Lonchura striata: one gene and its partners. The protein of the gene in region 1 interacts with the protein of each later gene in a biochemical or structural test. Links are inferred from orthologs where the notes say so. Each region holds a gene or a part of one and is shown on either strand. Other genes may lie near its edges. The genes, in order: CLTB, HIP1 and HIP1R.

Region 1 (8,025 bases):
CTTGGCTATGGCTGCGTAGGCATCCGTGGGGCCGTTGGACTCCTGTGGCACACGAGCACCTCACCATCAGCACCAGTGCTTCCAAGAGCCCAGCCCAGCCACCTCCCAGGGCTGGCAGCACTCAGGCCTCCACACTCCCAGCACTGACAAGCCAGGATAGGAGGTAGGAAGGGTGACAGCTTGACACATGTGGGACAGTGTTCCCTAAGTGCTGCTCAAGCTACTCTCCCAGCCTCAGGCCCTGTCACCTAAAGCCTTGCCAGCGTTTCCCTCCTCGACCTGCTGCTCACTGCCACCGCAGCTGTTGTATCCTCCAGGCAGCCCCACTGCACAGGGCAGACACTGGCCTTGGAACTGCTCCCCAGGGACTCCCTGGCCCTCACTGGGGCCCAGGCAGCTCCGGGACCGAGCTGCTTCCCTCACGTCTGAGCTGAAGGCCCCGCCAGGCCCAGCACCTCCCCTAACACCTTCCACTGGCCAGATGCCCAGTCTGACACCAAGCTCAGCAATGGGATTACAGCTTTCTTCCAAGATCCTCAATCTAATTAAGTCTGTCCCATTCCTGATGCGATTATCATCCTGTAAAACAGGCATGGGCAGTGCATATGCCCCACTGCTGGGCAAGTGGGGTAAAGAGCTTGTGAGATGCTGGCACTGCTGACAGCAGAGCTAGGCTTCAGGCTCTCAAAGGGATCTGAGACCCAGGTGGGTCCCCCAAAAAGCCCCTGGCCATGGGGGCAAGTGGTTTTCATGGGCAATCCAAGCCCCATGGCAGCCCTATCCTGTCTCTGGCCTCTGTCAAGAGATGCTCCTGCCTGCCCCAGAGGCCTCCAGAAGCTAGCCAGACTGGATAGAGGGGACTTCTTGGGGAATGGATGATTTGTCACCTGCTCTTAGGGCCCAGGCATTCCTTCATGGCACAAGCCACCTGCAAACAGATGTGGGGCAGGTCATGGCAGGTGGGACACATCTTCTCTTCAAAGAGAATGGAGCAGCCAGGACTCCCACAGGAGACCCAGACTTTTCCAGGAGCACCGTAGCTGTTCTGCAGCTGGATAGCAAACTCCAGTCAATGCTGGGGGCAGAGCAGAAGATTGCTGGCCCCATACCCACCCAATCTTCCTTAGCAGCCCTGGGCCAGCAAAAGGCTGAGCTCTCACCTGAAAGACATCTCCATTGACAGTGGCTCCTCCATTCTGGAAACCTGCTCAAGAAAATGGAAGAGAGAAGGAAAAAACACAACTATGGCAGATGCAGGTAATCCCAGATAGGCTGGTGTTCATGAAACTGCATCAGATTAGCTCCTGGGAGTTTGTGCCTTTTTCAGCTCAGCACACCCTTGGCACAATACCCTCCCCGTGTCCTGTCCTTGCTGGGATTCAGCAAGCACCTCTCACTCTCCCACACAAACCTCTGCAGGCATTTACATCTTTATGGTGTTTTCACTGGTGTTTAATCTTATCTGAAGATTAGGGAAACTGCTCCGGCACAAGACTGACACAGGCTGCTGCTCTGACTGTAGAAACAAAACCTGACCAACCTCAACCTGCAGAGGCTGCAGGACACAGCTGAGCCAAAAGCTGCTGGCCAAGTGCCAAGGCAACTCTCCAGGTACACAGCCCATGGAAACACTCCTTGTGCTCCACCAGGACAGAAGGGTATACCTACAGGCTGAGGGCCTTGGGAGCACACCTGGGATGAGCTGCAAGGTCAGAGTTGGTAATGAGGCACCCATCTGCCCACACAACCCCAGAAAGCTGCACACCCAGGTCACAGAGCCAGCCCAGGCAGGGGGCTTTCTGCTGCCAGGAGAGAAGAGGCTTTGAAGGAGTCACACTCCAGGTCCTGGGCTTTCCCCAGTGACCACAGGGCTTCTCCTGGCCAGCCAGCTGCAGGCACAGACACACTGCAGCTCAGGCCAGCACTGTCCCCAAAGTGCTCAGCCCCATGACTACACCCAGCTCCAGCCTGTCTAACTGCATTTATCACTGTGGCTGTCAACATCTCTCCAAGCCCAGATTTGCCTCCATGACCCTGTGTGTAGAGCTATGAAACCACTGCTCCACAGACAGCATGAGGAGACACTGAGGGGCTGCATTAGGAAAGGAGTCAGAGCCCTGTGGCAACAGTGCCCCCATACAGAGAGCAGATGCCAAAGCCCCTGCAGACTGAAGACGAGAGCAGAATTAGCACATTCTACCTGCAGGGCCTGGGACCACAACGTTCCCAATGGCAATGTCTTCCATTTTGCATCCCAAAGGGCTCTCCTGTCTGTGGGGACAGTGACAAGGCTGTCATTGCTCCTCAGTGCCGCCTGGATGCCTTTTACACTGCCATAGCTAGGAGCACTGAAACATGGAGTCGGGAGCCCATCCAACCAGGGAAACCCAGTACAAGGGGGAGAAACCGCCCCACGGCTGGCACATCCCAGCTCAGGATTCCCACATCCCCGAGGTTCGAGAAGCTCTTCGGGCACAAGCACAGGCCCAGACGACCCTTGCTAGGATGCCAACCTGGCCCACAAGATCACCCCGCCACCGGCCCACGAGGGGCAGCACAGACCCCATCACCCACCAGGGATGCTGTGCATCCCCCGGGGACCCCAGCCCCGCGTGGATGCGGCCCGGAGGACCCTTCCCCGCCCTCGGGGCAGAAGGGGCACAGCCCCGCGTTACCCCGCAGGGTCAGAGCCCGCCCGCAGCCAGCGGGAGCGCAGCCGGGCGGCCCGCGGGCGCGCTCACCCTGTTCCGGCGGGGCCGCCTGCCCGCCCGGGGCGGCGGCCGCCTCGCCGTCGGTCGGCCCGAAGCCCTCATCGTTCTCGATGCCCGCGATCTCGCTCTCCTGCTGGGCCAGAAAGGCGGCGGCCGGGTCCTCCTCGGCGCCAGCGCCCTCAGATGAGGAAAAGAAGCCGAAGTCGTCGGCCATGACCGGCCCGCCCGCGCCGCTCCCGGTCCGGCTGCGCGGCTCGGCTGGGCTGGGCCCGACTGCGCCCGGGCGGAGCTGCCGCTGTCACTGCGGCGGCGGGCGGGGCGGCCGCGCTGACATCACGCCGGGGCGGGCCCGCGGGCGCGTCCCGCCTCCCGCCAGCCGCAGCGGGCACCGGGAGCCGGGGCTGCCCGCCTGCCTCCCCCGGGGCTCGACTGGCCGCGGTCTGGCCGCGCCGACCCCTCAGGCGGGCGCTCGTAGCTGCGGGTGGGAGCGGGGACCCCTCACCGCCTCCTCCATCTTAGCGGCCGCCGCCATCTTGGGCCGGGCGCACGGGCGGCCCAGCGGAACGAGGGGTGCCGGGCAGGACCCTCCCGGCGGGACCGGAGGTAGCGGGCAGGACACACCCGACGGGACCGCAGGTGCCCGGGCAGGACCCACTCGGTGACCGGCAGCCCCCGCGGTGACGGGAACACAACCAGTGTTTATCGGGGGTCTTCGGCTCATATCCCCCCCGTCCTTGGACTCAGGGCCCGCTCATCCCCGGCCTGTTCCGGGAACACCCGAGCAGCCCTTGGCACGCATCGGAACCCCTCGTGTGCCCGCCGGGAACACCCGAGCTGAGCTCGGCACACTTCGGATCTTTACGTGTGCCCGCCGGGAACACCCGAGCGGTGCTCGGCACACTTCGGAACTTTACGTGTGGCCGCCGGGAACACCCGAGAGCGGCCACCGCTGCCGATGGGATTCGGGCATCTCCGGACAGGCCCTAGAGCGCTTCGGGTCAGTCCGGAATGCGGCCGAGCAGTTCCGGCGGCGGCCGATAAACAGCGATTGGCCGCGGCGCTGGGCTGGAAGTGGGCGCGGGCGACGTCACTTCCGGAGAGTGACGGAGCGGCGGGTCAGAGGCGGCAGCAAAATGGCGGCGCCTGAGGAACGGGAGCTGACGGCGGAACAGACCGAGAAGCTGCTGCAGTTCCAGGTGCCACGGCCTGGGGGGCCCGTGCCGGCCGGCGGGAGCGGGGGAGGCGGTGCATGGACACGGAATGGGCTGAGCTGGGCCCGCTCCGCCGGCGCTGGGGGGTACGGGGCTCACAGAGCTGGATAGGCCCGTCCTGGAGCGGGGTGTCGAGCTAGGCACGAGGGGGCAGTGAGAGGAGAGACAGCTGTGGTCCCAGTCCTGGCCGGGGGCAGTGAGATTTCCGTGCCTCTAACGCTTTGTCGGGGCGATGTTCTGTCATCGCTAACTGGGGAGGCTGCTCAGTAAAGTCCTCGCAGGAGAAACTCCTTGGTAAATCCCGGCCATTTTAATTAGCCTGAAAATTTTCCTTGTCGTAGCTGGAGAGCCTTTCTTGGCACCGCGGGAGAGTTATCCAGTGGGTTTCTGTGGAACATAGTCCCTGCCCCTCACGATTGGGTAACGCCGCTGGAGACTGTAGTGATCTAATCTGTCTCTGCTACATAACACAGGCAAGGTCGCTTAACCTTTGGTTTGCGAGGCCTGGGGCTGTGTGGCAGATGAATGATCATAAACACAGTCTGAAGATGTGGTTTATTGAGGAGAAAACAGTGCTGGGCAGCTGAAATTCTTAGGGTTGCTCAGTGATGAGTAACTAAATGTGCTGAGCAATGAAAATTACCTTCAGGTGCCTTGGGTTTGTTTCTGAGCTGTAGGACATCATGTGGCATCCCTTGGATTGCAGTTCTTTTACAAATGCCATGATTACTTTTAAGAGTACTTTGTCTGCTTTTGTTGCTTTATGTTACTGTTTTGAAGAGTGTGCATTGGCAGTTTGGTGTGATGTAAATGTAGATTTAAAGGGACTCCAGAGGCATCTGGCCCTGCCTTCCCCAGGTGAGACAGTGCAGGTGTTCATCATTCCACACATTGTCTTCCCAAGCCTTCCCCTGATTCACAGCCCCCTGACTTAATCACCATGCTGAGGTGTCTTCCCATGACTGGACCCATGAGGAAACTTGCTTTACAAGTGTCCCTCTTAAGTCTACTGCAGATGGAGCTGTTTGGGCAGACAAATTAAATACAGACTAAAGGCACAGAGCAGTGCTAGCCATTGCTGTCCCTGTGCTGCCTGGTGAGTAGGTGAGGGTTTTGCACATATAAATGTCCCATTCTCTTGCTGGGAGATATCTTGGTTCTTGCTCGTCTGCATGCTCTGGACAGGTAGGACCAGCTGCTCTCACTGCTGCCTCTGCTGCTGTTTTCAAACCCATGTGGGTAGCTGTGAAGTGAAATAATCCTGTTTCCTCATGCCACTGGTGTTGGCATGGACAGAGGGCTGCTGGGGAACCCGAAGGAGAGATTCATGCTTTAGTCCAGCTTCCTGTCAAGCTCTGGTTTGAGGCACTGGGAAACACTCCTCAGGCTGTAAAGGGGAGAAATTTTTTCAGTTAGACCACTGCTGTGCAGAGCCAGATGTGAAAGCTGTGGTCCAGAAGGCTTGGATACCAGCCAGGATCCTCCCTCTTCTGTCTTCTGTGGTGTGTTGGATCAGCTTTCTCCAGGGCTAATGACAGACCCCACTGGTGATTCCTTCTCCTCTGATATGTCACATCTACCTGAGAAGGGCTCGGGTGTGAGCCCTGCTGCTTCCTCAAAAGTAAATCAATCCACTTGGAAGAGATTTTTTTCTCAGACTCCAATAGGAAAAATGAGGTGTTTGAAGAGATTAGGTAAGTGTCATTAAAATAATTTGAACATTGCTACAAGTCAGCTTGGAAAGCCTTCAGGGATCCCTGCTGAGCTTGCAGGGAACACTTCATTGTTTTCAAGGATAATTTCACACTTTGTGATGTGCCATCATAAGTAGGCTGCACAGCATTCCATGGTGACAGAGCATTGCACTTCCACAGAAGGTTGTATCCCACTGCACTGTGAACAGAGCAGCAGAGCAGACCAGGAAAGAAGGCAGGATGACCAGGATGAGGTAAGGAATTGTAGAAGGCCCTCAGTGAAATAGAGAGCCAAAGGGAGGGAAGCACTGAGCAAGGACTGCTATTCACCTAGAGAAAAGGTGGTTGGGGTGAAGATGCTGTTGCCATAAACTGCTTCACTTCTGCTGGAGAGTGCACCTTTCCAGGCAGAGGTGAGTGTGCTGTCCTGTCCTGGCACAGGTCTGTGTTAGTGCCCTCTCTGCATTAATCCCACTGATGTTTGTGTGGTGGGTTCTGTAGTGCTCATACAAACAGCTTTGCTGGCAGAATGCTGAAACCAGCAGCTTCCTTCTTGTGGGCAGGGCTGGAACGGGGCAGCTCTCTGCACCATGCTGGGGCAGGTTAGTAAAGGAAAAAAGTCAGTAGAGAGAACTGGGATAAACTTGAAAGCAACAAAGCCTCTTGTGTGCTTTCAGCCTCTCATTTACTGCCAGAGAACTGGCTAATAATGTAAGAGAATAAAAGCATCTAAATTTTTCATCTGTCAAGACCTCACTGTCCTGACATTTGGAGAGAGAAGTTTGCTGTGAACAGTTTAGGAAAGCTGTGGAGATGTGATTCATTTGGGAGATGGAAGAATCAGCAGAGCAGCTTTTGTAGGATCTGGATATTGATCTGTGCCCATTACACTTGGGCTGATGTCTGATATTGTAATATGCTAATGTAATGTAATGGAGTGTTATTTGCAAGAGAGTTGGCACTCATATAGTCTCTGACTTCAGCTAGGGAAAACAGAATGCTCAAGGCTGGATGTGACTCTGATTTAGGGGAAGGAGGAAACATGAAATTCCAGGCAGCTTTCCCACTCAGCATATCCATCAAAACCCTCAGAAAGGCATTTGCTGTAATATGCAATAAGAAACTCTTGGTTAAGGCATTTTTCCAGTTAGAACTCAGATGTTCTTTACCCTTGGAAAGTAATTCTCTGGAATTTGGCAGTGGGTTGGGAAGTAAGAGCAGTGCCAGTTAGTCCTGTGGATTTGCATCTCCTGTGCTGTGTTTCAACATCGGAGCATATCTGTAGAGGCAACGGTTTCGTAAGTCCACTTTACAACCTTTGTCCACTCAGGGGTATTCCTTCTGCTTTTGAAGCATGAAATTGTACTTTCCACTACTTCAGTTTTGAGAAGATTCTGAGCAGTCTCAAAGGTGAGAAATACTAATAATTACCTCCAGCAAAAGCTTCCTTATGCTTTACAATAACACTCTTGCTTTGGTGGTTGAGAAGCCACTATTGAACTTTTCTGGCATTTGTGGAATTTAATGTTTTGTTTTTTGAAATACTGGCCACTATGTTGAGCTTGGATTTATTTGAAGGTTTGAGAGTGCTGGTGTAATGGGACTAATTTTAACTACTTATTTGTGTAAGATCCATGCTCTTAAAGGCAGCTGATAAGGGATCAGAGCATCAACGGTTGAAGATGCTGGTTCTTCTCTTAGCCCTGATGATACAAAGAATGTGCTGGTGTGCCATGGGTATAAGAGATGCTGAGGCAGTGGAAATAATGTGGAGTTTCAAGTTTCTGATCTGTTTCCATGACTTGGTGAAGCAGGGGCCATAGGAATGTCATGAGGGTGATAATGACCAATATCAGTGTTTGCCAGCAAGAGTTGTCTGGAGTGGCGGTTGAACTGTGGTCCTGCCATTCCTTACATCAGGCATGGGTCATTCTGAAGCCTGGTGTATCTCCAGAACGTGGTGGAGCTGTGGTGTATCCAGTGGAGCACACAGACTAACAGCCAGCAAGGTGTTGAGTGTTAAAAGCTGCCTTTGCCAGGCAGTTTTTTCTACAATGTTTAATTGTGAAGCCTCATTGATCAGACAAGTGGCGGGAGCGCTCGGCACTGTGCTGCTTGGAGTGGCTTTGTCACTTCTGGTTTGAGTTGAGAGCAGCTGAATTAGGATGCTAAGGAAAAAGAAATAAAAGGAAATTCACCTCCCTGGGGAGCTCATGTAGAAGACTGAGAAGTGACTAGAGCTGCCTGTCACTGTGGTGGTGGTCAGGAGGGGTGAAGTTGGCTGTCTCTGATGTCTTTGTGGAACTCGGGTCTTGCAAATGCTGCAGTGATTCAGTGCTCATTAAATGCTTGTTGATAGCTCTGCTGCTTTCTGACCTAAAACTGCAGAAGAATTTTGCATAATTTAAG
Region 2 (7,558 bases), on another chromosome or scaffold:
TGAACACCCAGTCTTTGCCAACTAGCCAAGCACAGAAGGAATTTCAGTCCTTGGCTCCATCATGGCACAAGGATGTCTGCTGTGGACAATTACAGCATGGAAAGAGGAAGAAGGAGGGAAGGTCCCAAGGAGGGAAGATCCCAAGCACTACTCTAAACAAAGAAGACCTTCCCTGCAGAGCTCCAGCACCAGCGCATACCCCTTAATCCAACCAGGAGAACTTGGAGGGGATGCAAACTTCAGACACCATGTGAAACATTTATCTTAAAATGTGGCAGGATTTTCACTTTCAATGTTTTTTTCTCCTCCGTTAGTGATCCTTGCTGTGCCCAAAGATTTGTGCCAAGGTTGAGGTGGTGAATGGTGAATCACCACATGAAACATCAGCAAAGGGGGAACAGTCATTGCAACACTCATACTCCCTGATGGCAGCAGAACTGCAGGATTTGGTGTCCCTGTTGCTCAACTTCCTATGAAAATTATCAGCATCGACAGAAAAGGAATAGAGCAGTCCTTGGCTGTGTCTTGTTCTTCCTGAGCTGCTCTTGCCCAGCAGGCAGCAAGAACAGCATGAAAGGAACACCATGTCTGGGCATGTCCTCAGGTTTCCCACATTTGCATTCCCAGGAAAATCAATATACTTGCACAACTGTAGGAGCAGAAGAGAGGCCACCAGGAAATTTACTGCTGTTTGTCTGCAAGCCAACAGATGGAGGCTGTCAGGACAGAATTGTTGTGCAATGCAAATGCAATAACCACCATGGAAGCTTTCCACCACCAGAATATCCCACCACCATGGAACAATTCTAGCACCAGTTTACCACCACCACAGAAACATCCTATCACCACAGGAACATCCCACCTCCAGACCTCCCCACTACTAGGATGTCCTACCACCACCACAGCTTTGTAGGGTGCTCTTGTTCTTCCAAACTGAGCTCAGACCACAGAAACTGGGTGCTGCCAACCCAAGCAGGTGTTCCTCAGGCTCCCCAAAGGCCCATTTGGATACACTTTCTGCCTGTTTTAGCACTTTTACCCCAAAATAAGCGTTGCGATGTATGTGCTGCTGCCTTGAGACAGCCAGGATTGGGGGGAGGGAAGGAGTCTGTACATGCTAAAAACACAGGGAAATTTTTCATTTTAAAGCCATTTAACAGATGAAAGTTTTCTTAAAAGAAGTCACTTTCAAAAAGAAAAAACCCAAAGCCACAAAGTTTCTCTAAAAAAAAAACCTCAGAAAGAAGAAGTTGGACAAAAATTGTACAACCAAGACCTAACGGGTGCCTGGCAAGTTCTCTAAAGTGGAGAGAATTATGGGGAAAAAAAAAAAAAAAAAAAAAAAAAAAAGAGGGAGAAAAAATTAGTTAGAAAGGGAATTGCACGGAGCTGAAGCACAGAAGAAGAAAAAGCTAGACAAGGCCATGCTGTGTCATTAGTCTGGAAATAAGATGAGGAAGATGAAATCCAGCTCGTAGCAATGTGGGGAGTGGTGCCGCTCCACCACCCTCTCCACTCAGCCCTTCCCAGGAAACCACTAGCTCAGGGGGAGCCTGAGAGAGCTCCAGGCCCATCCGGCTGTTGCTGACACAACACGGAGCCAGAAGGTTCCAGGAGCAAACCAGTTCCATTCCTACCTTTAGCAGTATGAGTAAATAATTGATGTCTGAGGTAACCTGAGCGGGAAGGTGAGCAGAGCCTTGCACATGATCCTGCATCCAACTTCATGGCCTGGTGGGTTTTCTTCCTGCAAAACCCCCTCAGACATGATCCTTGGTGTTTATTTCCATCTCTAAGCCATATCCCATGTGTTGCTCCCACTCTGGGCTCATTCAAGTCTGCTTCCACTGGTCCCATTTCTACCCTTGCTCCTGCCTCAGTTTCCCTTCCTCTCCCACGGTAGGTCTGGACAGTTCTGCTTCACTGGTACTTTCCATCCCTGGACATGGAGCAGAGCCAAGCTGTCCCCAGCTCCCTCTGCCGCCATCCCTCTCTCTTCACTCCCCCCATGCTTTGATGCTTTATCCAGGCATATCCCCAGCTGCTCCAAGCACAGCCTTTCCCCAAATCACCAGCTTTTTCCACCAAAGCACCCCTACTGCCCTTCCAGTTTGGCTGCCACCTTTCCTCTGTGCAGGACATCAATCCATCACCTAAAACCTGAGCAAAGGGCCCCATCCACCCCCATACTCTGGATGCTGCTGACAGTGCCTCTTCCCAGGAGCCAACTGCAGGGACAGACCCTGTCCACACCTGGGGTCTCGGTGTGACACAGGAGCAGAACTGACTCCACTGGCCAAAGAGCCACTTCTGTGTTCCCTCCAGCCAGGGAACACAGGCTATGTGTGCTCAGGGAGGTTCCAAGGACAGGGTGGCACCGTCCTGGGCATGATGCCTGGCTGTGGCCGGGCTTGGAGACTTGGCAGCTCAGGCCAGCGGGTCAATGTTCCCTAGCCCCGCTGCTGGGAAGGCCAGGCTGAACAAACACTGCTGGGCTGGGGCATCCCGGCTGTTCCTCCAGGGCCGGCTCCAGCCCTAGCCACGAAGTCCGGCGGGTCCCCAACCCCGTCGCCCCAGGGCGACCCGCGGCCCTCCTCCGCCAATCCCCCCGACCTGCCGCCAACCCAGCTGCGCCCTTGCGCCAGCACCAACCCGCCAGGCAGCTCCATCTGGCTCTGGCTCACCCGGCTGGCCGCGCCCACCCAAACAACCTCGCCCACCTCGGGTAACCCCGCCCGCCTGGCACAGGTACGGGCGAGCCGTGCCCACCGCACCGCGCCGCGCCCCGGCTCGCCCCGCCCGTCAGCCACCGCCTTCCCCTCCTCACCGCTCGCATCCCCGCCCCGCCCCGCCCTGCCCGCACCTGGGCGCGCTCGAAGCTCTCCCGCTCGGCCTCCAGGCTGCCGCCGCCTGCCCGCCGGCTTAGCACCTTGGGCAGCGGGTTGGCCACCTGCTTCATGGTGCTGCTCACCCGCTCCATGGCCGCCCGACCCGGCCCGCCGCCCGGCCCGCGCCGCGCCGCCACCGCGGGCCCTGCGCCATTGGCCCGCCCGCCTGCCCCTCACGGCCCGCGGGCACCACCCTCCCAGCCGAGCCCCCCCCCACCGGCCCGGATTCTCACTCTCATTGGTTCATATGGACGTCAATCAACGCAAGCTCCCGCCTCCCCAGTCCCCCTGCTCTTTGCTCCGCCTTCAGGGGCCGCGCCCTTAGCACCGCCCACCCGAGCGCCGCGGCCACGCCTTTGCGCAGTTCCCTACTGTGATTGGTCCGCGGCCCTGCCGCTCAGACACCGGTGTCCCGCCCCGCCCCTCCCCTGTATGGGGCGCGGCGCCCCCTGGCGTCGGCGGACTGATCGGGACGCGCCGGGCCGAGCCCAGGGGCCGCCGTGGGCTCCGCCGGGCCCGGGGGCGGCCGCCGTGCACCGGCTCCGAGCCGCGGCTGAGCCCTCCGGGGCCGCCGTGCACCGGCTCCGAGCCGCGGCTGAGCCCTCCGGGGCCGCCGGCCGCCGAGCCCCGTATGGCTCCGTGAGGCTGCGGCCCCTCGGCCGAGCCCGGCGCGTGGCCACGGGGTGACCCGGCACCGCCGCCCCGTCCCCGCTGTCCGCCTTGGGCCGGGCCGCCCCTCACGGGTGTTCGTGGCTCCCCACGGCCTGGGCCGGGGGTGGGGAGGCGGCTCCGCCGGCTGTCAGCGCCAGCAGAGCCCCGCAGCCTGCGGAAGGGTCGTGTGAGGCTTTTCCCGTGTGGGATCCAGGCTGGGGGTGGGAGCTCTGCAGGGCATTGCTGCAGGCACAGCTGGCAGAGCCCAACAGGAAGTGTGTAGCATTGGCAGAGGGGCAAAATGTGGTTACAGGGGTCTGAAAAACGCCAATCATTTGGTTTTTAAAATTTTATACGTTTAATAATAATAAAATTGTTATAAAAATAATAATACAATTAGGGTAATAAAGTTTAGAGTTAGGACAATTACAAGACAATAAAAAGCAAAGAATTATGGATGTCCGGATGCTCTCATACACTAAGTCACGAAAAGCATGACTTGTGAACAAAGGAATCACCCTTAAACTAATACACTTGTTGCATATTCATACATCCTTTATGGTTATGCATACGTTCTATTTTAAACAAGAAACTCTGTTGTATGTCAACTGTTTCCTTTAATCCCCTGGCGTCTTCGAGTCTGAGAAAGGCCTGAAGAAATTAGCTTCTTCTCATAAGAAGCCATAAATTCCTCTCCTTTGGAAGATTTAGGTGTTCCTCGAAGCCAGTATCTCATTCCTAAAAAGAAAAGTCCCCCCACATACATAGTCTCTATTTTAACATTATGTTGTAACCTAAAACTACACTTAACACAATACGTAAGAGAATTAATACAGCATAACTTTCTAACATTACACATATAATATTCATTGTAACATTTGCGAAAAGCCAATCACAAATATGCATTTTTCACAATGGGGTCTGAAAAAGAAGAGAGGAAAGGTGAGAGAAGGATTTTGTTTCCCCTGGACTGTGTTTTATTATAACTTGATCTGGTCCTGTCACTCTAATCAGAGATTTTTGTAGCATTAGATTGGATATCAGGAAGGAATTATTGACTGTAAGGGTGGTTGAAGCCCTGGCACAGGTTGCCCAGAGAAGCTGTGGCTGCCCCATTGCTGGAAGTTACCCAGGCCACACTGCATAGGGCTTGGAGCAGCTTGGTCTAGTCAAAGGTGTGCAGGAGGTGGAACAGGATTGTTGGAAATTATACAACTTCTAAATTTTTAAACTAACTTTAGTCAGTGGTTTCGTTCATCTTTGCCCAGGAAGGGAATGGAAGTTTCTTTTCAAGAGACTGTTCCCTAGGCAAGGCCTGATGAGTTTAACATCTCAAGGGACTGGGAGTGCCAAAGGATGCACAAGAGATAAGCGACCATTAATGAACATCAACATCTGAACATCCTTCCTGTTGTGTCGGAGACACTTAGTCCAGGAAAAGATCATAAAAGAAGAATGAGGGCCCGATGAGTATCGAAGGTGAAGAGATCAATAACCAATAGGAAACCAAATTCTAAGAACTGTGTAACTTCAGACCAATAAACATTGAACCAATGAATCTCTCTGAGTTTTAACTGTATAAGTATGTAAAAATCTAGAAAAGAGACATGTGATGGAATTATTTTCTTTGCACAACCCAATGTGTGGATGAAATTACTTCTGTTGCACATCCTGGCCAGAACATCATCCTGGCCAGAATAAAATAACGCTTGAGTTCTCTAACATTAAAAATTGTTCAAAAGGTTTTGTTTTTCCTGCTGTTTAAGTGACAGGATGAACTTTAAAGTTTCTTCCAACTCAAACCATTCTGGGATTCTCTCAACCTGGCGAATTACTGGCTCCTGTAATTTTGACCAGGACTATCATCCTATTCCAGAGGTGAATTTCTCACTTGGAACATTTCTACAATACTGGGAGGAATTCCTTTTTTTTTTTTTTTTTTTTTTTTTTTTTTTGTTTTGTTTTGTTTTGTTTTGTGAAGAGACTGAAAACTGAATTCCCAGATATGGCAAATGGGCCATGCTGGGACTGTGCCAGCTGGGTTCCTGAATCCTTAAAAGCAGATCATAACAAATCAGTGACTTTGCTCCAGGTGGGGAGAAACTGTGCAAAACACTGCTGGGGTGATGGGGCAATCTGGAAACAGCTGTTTAGCATGTAGGCTGTCAGGAGCTCTTGTGTAAGCAATCCTCCCAGCATATCTCTCTTTTCTGACTTTTTCAGCTGAAATAATTGCCACACCAGGACCCTCCTGGAGCTGCCCAGCAGGGTGTGTGACAGCCTGTTTGCATCACAGGCCTTACCAGTCCCTGTGCATTGGACAGCAAATCCCAGCTGATGGGAAATGGCCTGCGTGGAGCAGCGAGACCATTCCTCCCACTTGTCTCAAGTGCCTGTCTGCATTGTCCTTAATGTACTTTCTGGAAACCTGCCTCCTTCCTTGGGGCTGCTCCCAGGGGAAGTTTAATGGGTTTGATTCATCCACTGTTGCAGCGAGATGATTAATAATTGAAGAAATTACATCATTGCTGAATAGAGATGGAGGAAAGGAAGAGCAAAGGAAGGGACTGGACAAAGGATAGTGGTGCCTTGTGATCTGGACCTCTCCCACCCTCCACCTCACTGGGAACATCCTGCTCCTGGAGCCCATGGCAAGAGACCACTAGGCTGAGGCTTGGTATAGCTGCTTCCTCCTACTGAAGAGCAGAGCCACATCCTCTTTGTCCCTAGCCAGGGCCCAGTGCTCATGCTGGGACCTGGGCAGGAACAGAGCAAGGTGCTTGGATGCGGGACAGAGCAGGCTGTTTCTACTGGCTGCTTCTGCCTCTCCCAGGAAGGGGCTGTAACAGGATAGAACTGGGATCCAGCCCATGAGCTGCTGGTCAGACCACCCTGGGCTGGCCTATTCCACGCAGCCTTTCTGCTGGAATGTGCTGTGGGGATTTGCAGGGATTTGAGAGGCTCCTTCCCAGTGGGAGAGAGTGCCTTGTTTTCAGGTAGTTGAGAGGGGAAGGCACAGAGCTGTTCCTGTGCAGCATCTGTTCCTCTGCCTCAGGTTCCATGGGGAGATGATGGGGAAGGGCTGAAACTGAGCAGGGTGGAGGTAGAGCAGGTTGGGCATTGCTCTTCCTCCCCAGCAGGTCCTTTTTGGAAGCCATGGCTGGGGTTCACCTGTTCTCAGAGTGCTCTCTCCTCACTCCTGTCCAAGAGGCTGGACTGAAGGGTGATAGCAGAGCCCCTCGTGGGGGTGTCTGGCCTGTGTGGGGACAGACATTGTCTGGACATGGAGAGGACCATGTGTGCCCTCTCTTTTTTCCTGCTCAGCAGTATGTGGCACCAATCAAGTACTGCTCAGGCCAGGCAGGTGGGACTGGAGCTCATCCTTCCCCTGTTGCAGGGCTCCGTAGGGCAGTTCCCTCTTTATTCTCCATGCCCAGAGGTTCCTGTCCACAGGATCCTAAAGGAGGTCTGCTCCCATTCTGTCAGGACACCCTTAACCCAAATGGGAAGGCCAAGTAACAGGAGTGGGACCAGAAGGGACTGCAGGGGCTATGGGCCCTGTCTGGGGCTCAGGGATGCACTTTTCATGGGGGCTGGGAGCTAGAGTCTGTTTTTATAATTCCCTCCCCAGCCAGAGCTGGAGAGTCCCAGGGTGCTGCTGCAACAGTCATCACCCTCTTGTGGCCTGGCCTGGGCTCAGGGAGAGGACAGATCCCCCTTGTTTCAACAGGAAAACAGAATCACAGAGCTCCACAGTCCTTCCTCTGTTATCCTGCTGGCTGTGCTGGAGTGGGCTGGCACAGGGCTCTGTGCTAAGATCCCTTCTCTTTCCACCTTGGAGGTGGGAAAAATGGATCCCAAATGGATCCCCTTCAGTCCCTTTACACATTCCAAGGCAGGCCCAGATGCAGCCCTGCCCTGGTGATGGGGTAATTTGCTCAGACTCTGGGACAAAAACAACTTCTGAGCCGAAGTATCCATCTGGAGAGGGCAGAGTAGTAGTCCAGACCCAGCAGGAG
Region 3 (7,173 bases), on another chromosome or scaffold:
CGTGTGCTTTCCCTGCCTCCAAGCATCAAGCTTGCCAGGAGATCCAGGAAAATGGGATTGGTGGCACCAGCATGGGGCAATGCTGCAGCCTGGCACACGTGTGCTGACAGGATGCTCCTGCTGGCTGTCTGGCAAAGCCAGGCTGTGGAGGATGGCTCCAAAACGGGGAGATTCACCCTTGACCCAACCTCTTGGGACACCGCTGGCACGTCCGGAGATGGGCAGGTCCTGGCTGTCACTGCAGGTGCACAATCAGCCTGGCCAAAACTTTGATGCAACCTGTGGACTGTTCCCCACCACTGGCAGGCCAACTGGGTGAGGAGCCAAGCCCAAAACCTGCCGGGCCGTGGGCTGTGGGATCCCACAGGGCTGCAGCCCCAGCTTTGCTCACAGCCCGCACGTACCAAGCCGCTGACTAAAGCCGGGATCAAAGCGCCCAAATGAAGGAGCGCAGTTTAACATCCACCCTTTCATTCCTGGCTGCTTTTAATTAGGGCTGATCCTCCCGCCCACGGCTCCCCAGAGCCCCGGCATCCCACCGGGGCCCAATCCCCTCCGGGCAGTGGATGCCGGGTTCCAGCACGGGATTATTTGGCAGCTGGAAACCTCCCTGGCCAGGCAGTCCGAGAGCTGTCAGAACAGCTGAGCTATGAACTCCAGAGTTCCCTTCCTAATGCTGCTCCTTTCCAAATTACACCAGGAAAACACCACTTGGCAGTCACACACAATGCAATCCTGCAGGTTCCAGAGCTCATTGGATTTTTAACCTTTTTCTTTAAGAAAAGCAAAAACGGGCAAGTTTTTCCTCCTGCAAGGCTGCCGAGCAAGCGCCTGCTGTGGGATGATTTCCTACTTCCCATGCACGGCTTCTCCGAGGGGAACATTAAATCACCCTGACACAAAATATGGAAAAGCATTTTCAGGGAAAGCAGGTGACCTTCACGTCACCCACAAGGACCTGGGATCACAGCAGGGCCAGCAACTCCTGTCTGTAACCACAGACATCACCTGAGCCCTCACAGGGGAAAAGGTGATGGGGCTCTGGACTCTGGTACAGAATCCTCAGGCAACAGAGGGGATGTGCCAGCAGCACCCCTGTGACACAGAGACAAGGAGGTGACGTGCCAGCAGCACCCCTGTGACACAGAGACAAGGAGGGGACGTGCCACCAGCACCCCCGTGACACAGAGACAAGGAGGGGACGTGCCACCAGCACCCCCGTGACACAGAGACAAGGAGGGGACATGCCACCAGCACCCCCGTGACACAGAGGTGACTGGCGGCCAACTGGGCAGCTGCTATAATTAGAGGTAAAAGGCAGATCAATACCCACGTTCTGACACTGAACAGTTCTGCTCTCACCGAAGCACCACTACAGGAAACCACACCAGGATAAAGCTCCTTTAGGACAGTTTTTAGCAGTTCTGGGCAGGGAATGTGACCATCAGCCAGCGAGCAACCACCTCTTTTCCGTGTCCACATCTCCGCTCACAGCATCCCTGTGACTGCGCGGATCTCCAGAGCACAAATCCCAGTGAAAAGCCCCAAGTGCCCTGGAAGGCCGGGGGGAGCGGGGCCCCGTTCGTGCTGGGCACGGGGCAGCGTTCACCAGCGGTGCCCAGCGGGCCGACTGAAGGAGACGCGTCCAGAGGGAACCGGAATTGCCGGTTTTCTCGTGTTGCTCCCCAGACACGGCAAAAGCTCCGTTTCCTACCCAGCACCGTGACCCTGCGAGGCCTGAAATTCCCACCTGCCTTCACTGGCGCTCTCCGGGGCCAAACCAGCCCAGGGCCTGAGGAAGGAACCGCAAAGCAAAGGGGCAGAGGGGAAAACATCTGCGATGAATGCACAGCCTGCAAAAGCAGAGGGGTCAGAGGAGGCATGCGGCAGGGCACTGTTATTTTTGCTGGGGCAGCAGCGAGCCCGTCACTCTGTCCATCCCTCTGCCCATCCCTGCCCACGCTGTCTGAGTAGTTCGTTTCCCCCCAGCCATATGCCGGCCCCATCAGTGCCCGAGCATTGCCCACCCCGTGGGGTCTACAGGAGCACGGACACCCCCGCCAAGCCGGACACGATGGAGCACGAACGCCTTTGGGCTTTGTTTCCACTCTGCCACCGTCCGTGGGTCCAAACACCCCGATCCCCGCAGGGTGACCCGCGGGTGACCCGGAGCCGCGGGGTAGGGGTGGATCCAACTCCGGTGCGAAACATCCCCCGGTGCCGGTGGGGCCGGGGCTAGGCAGGGATGCGGAGATGCCCATTCCCGGGGCGCGGGGCTGCCGCGGAGTCCCCGGGCTCGGCCGCGCTGCCGCCAGCACCGCAAAACTTTCCCCGTGTGCTGCCGGCCGTGTTGACCTGCGGTAAGGCCCGGGAGGCGCGGGGTGCGCGGGGCCCGGCTGCCCGCGGGAGCGGCGGCGCACGGCGGGGCCGCGGCCCGGGGACGGGCGCGGGGCGGCGGGACGGGCGGGTGCCCACGCGGGACCGTCCCGCGGCCGCGCCGGGAGGAAGCGGCGGCGCAGGTGGGGGAGGGGGAGCGCGCGGCGGCGGCACCGGGGACGGACGGGCGGACACGGGGACGGGCAGAGGTGCGGCGGCCCCGCTGCCCCACCGGGGCTTCCCCGGAGCGCGGCCGGGACCTGCGCCCCCCATCCCGTCTCATCCCATCGCCCGAGAAACCCCCGCGCTCAGCGCGCCCCGACGCGATGCCCCGCGGAAAGGGCCGGCCTGCCCCGTCCCCGAGCCGGGAACAGGACCGGGACTAAAACCGGGACCGTAACCGCGGCCGGTCCCGCGGCCCCGCCGCCCCCTCCCGCTGTCCTTGCCTGGCTCTTGTCGAACTGTTCCCGCTCCGCCTCCAGGCTGTGCCCGCCGCGGCGGCTCAGCACCCGCGCCGGCACGCTCTTGATGCTGTTCATGGTGGGCCGCGCTGGGAGCTCCCCGCTCCGGTAGCCAGGCTCCGGTATCCAGGCTCCGGTGCCCGCGCTCGGGGCTCCGCGCTCCGGGCAGGAGCGACCGGCGCCGCCCGCCCCCGCCCCTCCCGGCCGCGCACTGCGCCGCGCGCCGCCGCGCCCCCAGCGGCCACGCTCGGAACTGCAGCGCCGCTCCCCCCGCGGGCAGGTGGGACCGAGAGCCCCGGGGGGACACGGGCAGAGAGGGGACACGGGCAGAGAGAGGAGACACGGACAGAGAGAGGACACGGAGAGGGGACACGGGGAGGGGACACGGACAGAGAGGGGACACGGACACGGGGAGGGGACACGGACACGGGGAGGGGACACGGACACGGGGAGGGGACACGGACAGAGAGGGGACACGGGGAGGGGACACGGACACGGGGAAGGGACACGGAGAGGGGACACGGACAGAGAGGGGACACGGACACAGAGAGGGGACACGGGCAGAGAGGGGACACGGGGAGGGGACACGGAGAGGGGACACGGAGAGGGGACACGGACAGAGAGGGGACACGGAGAGCAGACACGGGGAAGGGACACGGACACGGAGAGGGGACACGGACAGAGAGGGGACACGGAGAGCAGACACGGGGAAGGGACACGGACACGGAGAGGGGACACGGACAGAGAGGGGACACGGAGAGCAGACACGGGGAAGGGACACGGACACGGAGAGGGGACACGGGGAGGGGACACGGACAGAGAGGAGACACGGGGAGGGGACACGGACACGGAGAGGGGACACGGGCAGAGAGGGGACACGGGGAGGGGACACGAACACGGAGAGGGGACACGGAGCGAGGGACACGTCCCTTAGCAGCCCCCCGAGGCACCAGGCACCGAGGTGCTTGCCCAGCTCAGGAAGCACCAGGAACAGCGGTCACCGCCAGCGCGACCGTCCCTTCTCAGCGCCCATTTCACCCCTCTCCCACTGCACTCGCACCGGAGCTCCAGCACCGATTCCCGTTACCAAAGTCAATGACCGGAGCTCGCACCCACCCTGCGGAAAGGCCGTGGCTGAACAGGAGCTTTGTTGTCTTTAAATAATAATTCAAACCAAGGATACAATAGCAAAGGGCTCCCTGGAGTATTTGAGCTGCTTCCAGAATTAAGGCACCGAGTTTGAAGCGTTTCCATTTGAGCACCAGAGTGTGGTCAATAATGTAGTTGGGCTTTAAGTCACTTAGTGCTGAATAAATTAACAGTTATTCCCCTTCTTCCCATTCTACAAATCCAGGGCAGCCCCGACACAAAATCCTAAGGCTCTGCAGATCCTTGATGCATCGCTTGAGCTCAGTTTTCTATATTGATCTTAAAGTCATCATTTTAAACTCTCCAGGGGTTTAAACTCAGTGAGTTGATCCAATAACCTCAAAACCATTTAAATGCAGCTGCTGCTTGGAAGTTGCACCAATTTCTCTGTGTAGCTGCTGGACAGCTTCAGGGTGAGCATCATGGCATTGTCATCACTGGCTTTTTAGGGGGAATTCTTGTCATACCCACAGCAGGAGATTGCGAGGATGGAGCCTGAGAAGGTTCTATGCAGGTAGAGGAATAAATGCACTGTAAAGGCTTGAGGAAACTTGGAAAGAGCTGGAGCAGCTGAGCTTCCCTCTGTGGGTAATGCTGGTGAGCAGGCAGGGAAAGAGTCTGGAGAACAGCAGCTCTCATCAGAACTGGCCACCTAATTCTAGGGCCATTAATACCTGCAGGAAAGGCTGTCACTGGAGTAATTAAAGAGAAAGCAGAAAATGAAATGAAAGAGTTAACAAGGAGACTCCACGGAATGTTGTGTTTCTCAGCAATAATTGGTGGCACTGGATGGAGCAGAAACTCCCACCCTTGGCTCCCCCCAGCAGGAAAAATGCTGGCACAGGGCTGTGGGAGGGGCACTGGTGTCCCAAAGTGCTCCCAAATCTACACAGGACTGGGCAGCCCACTCATGTCTGCTGAGAAATGTCAGAAATCAAGTGCTAAATGTGTTAAATGGGCAAGAGAGACACAGCAAAGTATCACCTTTATCAGATTATTTGATCTCTACATTAAAAAAGAAGTTCAAATTGTGATAACAGCACATCTTGCCCAATCAGCAAACATAAATCCAGTTTAAATGCTAAAAAAAGGTTACATCATACTTGGCTACCTCTACAGTGCAAACAGAGGCCATACACACCTGATCCCATAGACTTTTGTTGGAAAACCAGCTCCTGAGTGTGGAAAGATGTTCTGCCCACCTTGAGGGTGACAGTTCTCCCATTTCAGCAACATCGGAGGCAGTTCCTGCTTACAACACTAATTAGGAACTTCCTATAAACATTATTCATCTCTCTCTACAAGGCAAGAAATCCAGAACAAAAACAATGTGCTAAAAAAAAAAAAGGAGATTGCTTGGCTGTGTCATAGTCTATAAATATTTCTGAGCCACCATAAAAAAAAAAAAAGAAAAATAGTTCCTATGTTGTAACAATTACACACTTCAGATTCTTAAAAAATAAGCTAGTGTTTAACCTGAGCTCTCAGCTGTAAAAATAGCTTTGTTAATCTTGGTGTAATTCTGTGTTTTATTTCAAGATAAAATGCATTCTTGCAGAGTCACATCTTCTTGCCACTTGTGAGTCTTTCAAACACTCAGGAGGAACCACAGGAAAAATATGAGGTAACTTTCTGTTGTAGCTGCTGGGTCAATGATCTTCAGTCCTCAGTATTACCTCTGTGTTGGAAACACTTTTTCCTCTGAAGAAAAAGGAAAAGATTTTAATGAAAAAAGCAGGAACATTTCCTCTGAAATATCTGAAGCAATCACACTTACGTGAATTTATTACACAAATTTTCACACTGCAAACAGAGTAAGAACATGGAGTAAAACTATAAAGAGGAAAAGGTAAACAAAGTACTTCACAGAAAGGCAACAGTCTCAGGGCCACCACTGGGGTGCTGGGAAATAAAACCTTTCCAGTTGGCTTTGAGGAAAGGAGTGATCTTTGTGCCCCAGGCCAGCCACTGAGTCACCGTTTATGAGCACTGGCACATGCTGCTGTGTCCAAAAAAGAAAATAGCCTTTTCCTAACTTCTCTCCTCCTGAGTTCTTCAACTCCCCCCACCCCTCCAACCTCTCTCTTAGAGGCAAAACAACTGACTGATGAGAATAGCTAAATTACTGGCAGCTAGGGAGGAAATTGCCCTAATGTTTGCCAGTGCACCTGCCCTCAAATGAGTTTCAAAGCAATTTAAAACCAAACAAACACAACCAAAATCAATTCAATCACTTCTGTATATGAAACTGCACAAATGTTTGGTTATTTCTGAGCCTGCTCTGCTTCAGATCTAACTGATCACAGTGATTCGTTGCTTTTTAACACAGAAAGAAAATGAAAATTATGTATTAGCCAGTGACTTGGAGAACCACTCATTCTTGTCATGGATCTGCAGTGGATTGTGGCATGTTTGTTCCACCAGCTCTTTCTCACTTGAGGCAAATGTGATTATTTCTGTAGGCTCAGCGTGCTCTCCCCACTCTGCTGCCTCAGCACGGGGCTCAGCACTTTTGGGGATTTGCTCCTGAAGCTTTGTAACATCAGTGGTTTCAGGATGCAAGTCACAGTGCTGGCTCCAACCTATAAAACCTCTGTCTGCTTTTACCTCAGGGCTCTTTTCAGGAAAGGAAGAGTTCTCTGTGCACAGGAACGTTACAGCAGAGGAAAGTTTGGCACTCGAGCTGCTCAGCATCCATCTCCCCCAGGTGCCCCATCAGCTGCACTCCACAGTCCCCACGGGCTCACAGAGGAGTCTCAGTGACTCCAGGCTTAATGCAGAACCAGCAGAACATGAGTGCAGCCAGCCAGCCTGACTCCCCAGGGCACAAACAGCTCAGGGACTGCAGCTGGAATACCCAAGAGAGAACTGAGCAGCAGCTCCCCATGGGCTGGAGGCTGATCCACAACTGGAGTCACACAGTGTCACAGCCCAGCTGGCTCTGGGGTAACCTCCCTTTGCAGGCACGAGCCTGGGCTGTGTCAGCACTGAGAGGTTTCTCTTTTTTTGCCAGTTTTTCTCCTCATTGTTGCTGGTTCTTATTCAGTTTTGTGTGCTGTTCAGGATTTTAACCATATCTGGTTACTCTTTTGTCCTCAGAACCAGACAAGGTGGTGCCTACTGCAAGCATCCAATCCACAATAGGAGAACAAATAATCAGAGAGTGAGAAATTTCCTGACTCAGAAA

Evidence for each region.
Region 2: the proteins of CLTB (region 1) and HIP1 form a complex in vitro, tested with the Homo sapiens proteins (2 studies listed by BioGRID, with this or other methods). The link is inferred for Lonchura striata from reciprocal best matches to the Homo sapiens genes CLTB and HIP1.
Region 3: the proteins of CLTB (region 1) and HIP1R form a complex in vitro, tested with the Homo sapiens proteins (2 studies listed by BioGRID). The link is inferred for Lonchura striata from reciprocal best matches to the Homo sapiens genes CLTB and HIP1R.

What each region holds. Positions count from the first base shown.
Region 1 is NC_134617.1:3,464,379-3,472,403, reverse strand, and holds the start of CLTB (clathrin light chain B), read right to left. Parts: upstream 3,015-8,025; 5' UTR 2,926-3,014; coding exon 2,742-2,925; intron 1,205-2,741; coding exon 1,161-1,204; intron 43-1,160; coding exon 1-42. Other genes in the region: FAF2 (FAS-associated factor 2), read left to right, coding at 3,845-3,907. UniProt on the Homo sapiens protein: Clathrin is the major protein of the polyhedral coat of coated pits and vesicles.
Region 2 is NC_134622.1:1,003,631-1,011,188, forward strand, and holds the start of HIP1 (huntingtin-interacting protein 1), read right to left. Parts: upstream 3,032-7,558; 5' UTR 2,981-3,031; coding exon 2,864-2,980; intron 2,636-2,863; exon of another isoform or gene 1,719-2,635; coding exon of another isoform or gene 1,677-1,718; intron 1-1,676. UniProt on the Homo sapiens protein: Plays a role in clathrin-mediated endocytosis and trafficking. Involved in regulating AMPA receptor trafficking in the central nervous system in an NMDA-dependent manner. Regulates presynaptic nerve terminal activity.
Region 3 is NC_134620.1:12,765,917-12,773,089, reverse strand, and holds the start of HIP1R (huntingtin-interacting protein 1-related protein), read right to left. Parts: upstream 3,038-7,173; 5' UTR 2,916-3,037; coding exon 2,823-2,915; intron 1-2,822. UniProt on the Homo sapiens protein: Component of clathrin-coated pits and vesicles, that may link the endocytic machinery to the actin cytoskeleton. Binds 3-phosphoinositides (via ENTH domain).